Mus musculus: one gene and its partner. The protein of the gene in region 2 interacts with the protein of the main gene of each other region in a pairwise test. Links are inferred from orthologs where the notes say so. Each region holds a gene or a part of one and is shown on either strand. Other genes may lie near its edges.

The links. The genes of interacting proteins can lie anywhere in the genome.
Region 1: the proteins of Trim63 (region 2) and Uqcrc1 interact in a two-hybrid assay, tested with the Homo sapiens proteins (2 studies listed by BioGRID and IntAct). The link is inferred for Mus musculus from reciprocal best matches to the Homo sapiens genes TRIM63 and UQCRC1.

The regions. Positions count from the first base shown.
Region 1 is NC_000075.6:108,935,203-108,939,561, reverse strand, and holds the start of Uqcrc1 (cytochrome b-c1 complex subunit 1, mitochondrial precursor), read right to left. Parts: upstream 2,915-4,359; 5' UTR 2,844-2,914; coding exon 2,775-2,843; intron 2,547-2,774; coding exon 2,406-2,546; intron 1-2,405. UniProt on the Homo sapiens protein: Component of the ubiquinol-cytochrome c oxidoreductase, a multisubunit transmembrane complex that is part of the mitochondrial electron transport chain which drives oxidative phosphorylation.
Region 2 is NC_000070.6:134,325,019-134,327,670, reverse strand, and holds part of Trim63 (E3 ubiquitin-protein ligase TRIM63), read right to left. Parts: intron 2,627-2,652; coding exon 2,604-2,626; intron 2,088-2,603; coding exon 1,963-2,087; coding exon of another isoform or gene 1,910-1,962; exon of another isoform or gene 1,642-1,909; intron 1-1,641. UniProt on the Homo sapiens protein: E3 ubiquitin ligase. Mediates the ubiquitination and subsequent proteasomal degradation of CKM, GMEB1 and HIBADH.

The DNA of each region.
Region 1 (4,359 bases), on a different chromosome or scaffold from region 2:
ACCTTGTCCCCTAAGCGCTGGGCTGTGGACTCCAGCTCTTCTGATTGCACAGCCAGTGCCTCTAACCACTGAGCCATCTCTCTAGCCCCAAACCTTCACCTTAAGTCTATCATCTTAGTCTACAACCCACAGTATCCTTTGACTTTTAACCATCCTTTCTTTGTAATGGAAGCATAATCACGGTACCACAGCACCTGTGGAATAGAGCAGGACTTCCTAAGCTTCATTAGTAGGTTCTGAGTCTACTCATGTAGGTTCCACACATCAAGGAAATTACCTCCCGCCATATCCTATGTTTGATAACAATTATATCACAAGTCATTATTTGTTCCTAGAAAAAGGAAAGAATCAGATAACAAAAACATATAACCCTAGGCAGGCAGTGGTGCACACACCTTTACTCATAACATTCAGGAATCAGGAGCAGGCAGATCTCTGTGAGTTTGAGGCTAACCTGATCTACAGAGAGTGCCAGAACACTAGAGTGCCAGGGCTACATAGAGAAACTCTGTATTAAAAAACTATAAAACAAAACAATTTAGCCCTACTAAGTGTGTTGGGAGGATTGGTTCTTGGGAGTTTTCTCACACACCTAGTAAAGATTTCAATTCTTGACTCCATTTTGAAGATTTCCAACTTCTACATTCATTATTTTATGTGGATGAGTGTTTTGCCTACGTGTATGTATATGCGTGCCTATGGAGGTCAGATCCATAGAGGGTACAGGATCCCTTGGGACTGGAGTTACAGCTGGCTGTGAGCCACTGCGTGGGTGCTGGGAATTGAAGCCAGGTCCTCTGAAAGAGAACAAGTACTATAAACCAGAGTCAATTCTCCTGGCCAATTTGCAATTTTAAATAAAGTATTTGTGTTTCTGTGTACCAGCGTACACAGGTACCCAGAGAAGCCAGAAGAAAGTGTCAGATCTCCTGGAGCTGGAGTTACAGGTGGTTAGAAGTTGCCCAATAAAGGTGCTGGGAACTGAAATCTGGTCCTGTGCAAGAGCGGCCAGCCCTCCTAACCAAAGAGCATCCAATTCACTGTAATCTTCAAAGGTACTCTTTGTCTTCCTTCAGTGCTATAAAGCTCATGGCTTTCCACTCAGTAGGCAAAGGCTCCACCCAAGTTACATTTCCCAGTCTTTCAGAGGCATTTCTTTCGTGTGTGCAAGTGCCACACATACATGCGTGTGCACACTCCACCACACAAATATCTGCGGAGGGCAGAGGAAACTGGGTGCTTTTTCTGATTACTCTAAATCTTTTGTTTTTTGTTTTAAGAATCCTTACTTCTGAGCTAGGCATTGGAGGCTCATGCCTTTCTTCCCAGCACTTGGGGAGCAGAGGCAGATGGATCTCCGAGTTCGAGGCCTGCCTGCTCTACAGAGTGAGCTCCAGGACAGCCAGGACGACACAGAGAAACCCTATCTTAAAAAAGAAAAAAAAAAAAAAAAAAAAGGAGAAAAAAAATTTTTATTTTTACGTATGTGTACGTGGGATGGTGAGACTGTGTAGGGTTAGGAACCGCTCTTCCACAGGACCCAGGTTCAATTCCCAGCACCCTCACGGTGGCTCACAACCACCTGTAACTCCAGTTCTGTTTTTTTTTTTTTAGATTTGTTTATTTATTTATTTATTTATTATATGTAAGTACACTGTAGCTGTCTTCAGACGCACCAGAAGAGGGCATCAGATCTCATTACGGGTGGTTGTGAGCCACCATGTGGTTGCTGGGATTTGAACTCCGGACCTTCGGAAGAGCAGTCGGGTGCTCTTACCCACTGAGCCATCTCACCAGCCCTCTGGGGGTTCTAATATCCTTTTCCAACCTCCAAGGGCATTATGTACAGACATGGTGCACATACACACATGTAAGCCACTCGTGTAGGTAAAAGTAAGACCGGCTTAGACACACTAGTCTCCACCCCTCAGAGTATTGGTGTTAGACCTAAATCACAACACTGAGGACTCCAAATTCAGATACCCATGTTTGAGTACCAAGCTCTTTACCCACTGGGCCATCTTCCCCGTCCTTCAGAGGCATTTCTTGAAGTGTATTCCTGGCTACGTCTACAAATTACATAGCCTAGGTGGTGAGTCTAACAGACCTGGATGTCTTTCTGTAAATAACCTAAAGTCTGTGAAATCTCATTCTTTTTCGTGGCAAGAGAATAATCTCTTCTCTCGGGGAGGTAGAACGAAAAGCTGGAGGAGAGAATTCGGCCCCGTCTTTGGCAAGCACCATAATGTTGGCTGCCGGGTTAAGGCAGGGTTGAAGTCAGGTACAGGGATAAGCCCCGGCAGTAAGCCAGTCTCCACCCAAAACATGTAAGACTGGAGCCCAAGGTCACATCCCAACCTGGGACAACACGGCGGGCCTCACCTAGAGGACTGGCGCACACTTACCGTGCAGGTAGCATGCGAGGACTGCTCCGAGGCCACACGCAGCCCGTTGTCCAAGATGCTGACCTGGGTCTCCGGCACGCTCTGGAGGGCCTGGGCGAAGGTTGCGGTACCCCGCAAGGCAGGTAACCTCAGCAGGGCCGGCTAAAGGGAGAAGGCGACCATTGCAAGAACTGCTCGCCAAGCCTCTGGGACCTCGGCTCTCAAACCCAAGCCAGAGCAGATAACCATCCCCGCCCTCCGCCATGACCTTCCCACGGCCCTGACCCCCGCGACCTCCCCACTCCGACCCGCCACTGCTGAGACAGCCTGCTCCTCATCTGTGTACGAAAGCCCTGGGCCCTGCAGCCCAACGTCTCACTGCCACCTCACCGAGCGGCGGGTGCGAAGTAGCACTTGCGTCCCGGAGCAGGCCGCTCGGCAGACTGCGGACGCCGCCATCTTCTAACTTCCGTCAGTGTAGAGCCGCGCTGCGCATGCGCAGAGCGGAGTCTGAGGCGCAAGCGCTGTAAGGAAGACTTGGTGCTCAGTCGCCCCCTGTTGGGCAGCAAGTACGTTAGCAAGAATTGATCGCATGTAGTCATTTGGTCCGTGTGCCTCTAGGATCTTCGGGACATTTATCAACCTGCGAGGGAGGGGCCCTTCATCTGGTCCCATCTGAGACAGGTTCTATTCATCACCTTCTTCCACCTGAGGGAGGCGGTATGCAACTGTGGGAGATGCATTGTACGCCAGCAGCAGCTCTGAAACCTGGAGGGCAGTGGCTAGGCACAATTGAGCCCAAGGGCTAAAGCACTTGCCTGTCTGTGCAAGAAGGTGTCCACTAAAGTTAGTTTAAAAGAATAAAATATGCTTAAATGGTTGACTTGAAAGACGTTTAATAATATATTGCCAAATATATAGCACTTGGGAAATGGAGACACAGAAGAATCAGGAGTTCAAGGACATCCTCCTCTCTTGTGTAAGGAGTTCAAAACTACCCTGGGTTGTGTAAGACAGTGTCTCCAAAACGTAAGAAAAAAAACGTGTGTATGAAAAGAGGAACAATGTAGAGGTAATTTGTGGAATAGGGCTCCTTGTTTGGAATAAAATAACTAAGCAAAAAAGTTTTTTCTATTTTGTGATTATTTCAAAACTTTTTGTTTACTTTTTTTCTTAATTTTTTATTATTTAAATGCATTTTATACATCAAACATATTAATAATGTTGAGTACTTTGAGAATCAAATAATCCATAAATTTTTTTCAACTTTTATATTCATATCCTTTCATACCCTAAAATATCATTAATGAATATTTAATACTATCCATAACTGAGGATCCTATATCTAATGTTGAATACTAAATTGTTTCAAAACATGCAAAATATTCTTTGGGAGTTAAGCATAGTAAAAGAGCATAAAATATTAAAAATTAATCATTAAGAAATATATTCATGAGTTCGAGGCCAGCCTGGTCTACAAAGTGAGTTCCAGGACAGCCAGGGCTACACAGAGAAACCCTGTTTCAACAAAACAAAACAATAAAAAATGAGTTACAGGGACAAAGTTTGGAGTAGAGACTAAAGGAATGACCATCCAGAGACTGCCCCACCTGGGGATCCATCCCATAAACAACCACCAAACCCAGACACGATTGCGGATGCCAACAAGAGCTTGCTGGCAGGAGCCTGATAACGCTGTCTCCTGAAAGGCTCTCCCAGTGCTTGACAAATACAGAAGTGGATGCTCACAGCCATCTATTGGATGCGAAGCACAGGGTCCCCAATGAAGGAGCTGGAGAAAGGACCCAAGGAGCTGAAGGGGTTTGCAGCCCCATAGGAGAAACAATTATATGAACTAGCCAGTACTCCCCAGAGCTTCCTGGGACTAAATCACCAATCAAAGAAACCACATGGTGGGACTCATGGCTCTAGCTGCATATATAGCAGAGAATGGCCTAGTCGGACATCAATGGGA
Region 2 (2,652 bases):
GCTTCTCACAGCAGCTACTAGAAGACTGGCCTAGAGGGGACATCTGTCCCCGTTTCTGGTCCCAACTGGGCATTCAATGGCAGCAGGGACCTGGGAAGTTGCTTGTTAAGATTCAAGCTCACAGAGTCCGGCCTCCACATCCCCTGCCTCCTCCTTGCAGATCATAGTCCTTTTGCTCCAGGACATTAGCACACTTCATCCCTGGCATGACTGTGGCCTCCGGGAGGCAGGAGGCACACTTAGTGTTCTGTGCATCTCAGCAGAACAGACACACCACAAAGGGGAGGCAGGGCAAACATTTCCTATTCTTAGGGATCAGAGTCCTCAACTGAAAGGAATTTGCTCGGCCTTTGAAATCTGCTGGCTCAGCATCTCCTTGTTTGCCTGATTCCTAGGTCCACAGAGAGGCAGTCTTAGGGTGGCCAGGGGTTGGGGGTGGGGTTTCTGTTCAGGAGAGTGGGACAGTCTCATGTCCCCATCCCATCCCCCCACCTCCCACCACCACCCCTACCCCCCCACTACCACCACCACAACCTGGATTCTCATTTTCTCATCCTGGGGTGTGACCTTCAAACCTTCCTAACTGGACCCTGCCCCTTGCCCCAGGCCTTTCCGGGCCTCCAGGAATCGCAGAGTCAACCTTTCTCAAGGCTATCTACAAACTAGAATGCCTACCATGGCTTTAGCGTGGAAACCCAGCACTCAGGAAACTAAGGTAGGAGAATAGCCACTAATTCAAGGACAGCCTGGGCTACATGGTGACACCCTGTCTCAAGAAACAAACAAAAAAGCAAAACAACAAAACTGTCAAGTAAGACCTCCAGCTAAACATGCAGGACCCACACATAATCTCAACAATGCAGGCAGCCTGTTTAATTTAAACCATAATTACTGCTCAGAATAGTTTTCCCCCAGAGAATCACTATGGGCAGGTCCCATGGTGTCTTCACATGGTCTCAGGTGTCCTCAGAGAGTCTTGTAAGCCAAGGGGCCCCCAGGTGAGGTCTGCACCAGCTACTTACTAGCCGTGTGGCTTTGAACAAGGGATTGCTCTGTCAAAAATCAGTTTTCTAAGCTATAAACTGAGCCGCATCCCAAAACTATATTAAGTGATGGAATTTCCATCTTTCCAACTTGACATCTGAGTCTCAGTGCTCAGAGCATGGAAAGTCCAACCAATAAATGGGCTCGGGGCTAAATGTAGTGGCCCGTGCCTTTATTGCCTGCACTCAGGAGACAGAGGCCATCAGGTTCCTGCGAATTTGAGGCCAGCTTGGTCTTCATGAATGGCCTCAAGAATCGCTGTTGGCATGGTCTCCCTGCTGGGGCTAAGGGGTGGGTAGTGTGAGCCTTCAGCATGTATGTTCACACAGTACAACCTGTCTTGAATATCCTTTTGACTATGTAGCCTAGGCTAACCTCCAGCTCGCCATCTTCCTGCCTAAACTTCCTAGGTGCTAAGTCTAAGACTCCAAGGCCTGGGTTGGAGTACCAGTAATAGATCCTCCCAAAAACCCAGCCAAAGCAGGAGACCACAAAGGCAGGGGCTTGGGGGAGTGCCAAAGGTCACACGGATAACACACAAATGGCAGAATCTGGATTTGAAGACAGATCTGTCTAATGCCAGATGTCATGAGCTTTGGATCCACACATAATTTATTTTGTAACAATTATGTACCAGGCACTGTGCCAGACCCTGGATCCATCACAAAGTTGTCTGTGGAGCCAGGCATGGTGGGCACATGCCTTTTATCTCATCCCTCAGGAAGCAGAGATGGGCAGATAGATCTCTATGTGTTCCAGACCAGCTTGGTCTACTTAGACACTACTAAGACAGTCAGGGCTCCATAGAGAGACCTGTCAACACTGGCTGTGTAAATTTGACTTTTTTAACAGTTCCCCTCAGAACTCAAGAGGAACGCTGCCTTTCAAAGGTCAAACATGTAACATCACATCCTTTACCTGTCCCAAAGTCAATGGCCCTCAAGGCCTCTGCTATGTGTTCTAAGTCCAGAGTAAAGTAGTCCATGTTCTCAAAGCCTTGCTCTGTCTTCCCCAGCTGGCAGCCCTTGGAGGCTTCTACAATGCTGTGGGGAGAGAGGCAGGGTGAGGTCTCAGGGCTCCATGCAGGAAGGGACAGCTTAGCCTTGGCTCTATGTGGGTCCATCCATCCCAGCCCCACAATCCATCCCTGAAGTGAGGGAGTAAAGAGGCAGCGAGCATTTCTTCTTTAGGATCAAGCAGAGTGCATGTCTAAGAAAGTAGGGGACATGGTCTGGGAAGGGGGGAGGTGAGCCCCAATCCCTGCAGAACGGATGCACAGGGTCCTACTGGGCAGGTGTCAGAAGCCCTGGGGGACACTGACTAGGGACGTGGGACCCACTCCTGGGGACACTGACTAGGGACGTGGGACCCACTCCTGGGGACACTGACTAGGGACGAGGGACCCACTCCTGGGGACACTGACTAGGGACGAGGGACCCACTCCTGGGGACACTGACTAGGGACGAGGGACCCACTCCTGGGGACACTGACTAGGGACGAGGGACCCACTCCTGGGGACACTGACTAGGAACGAGGGACCCACTCCTGGGGACACTGACCTCTTGATGAGCTGCTTGGCACTCTGTGGAGAGAAACAACAGAGGTTAA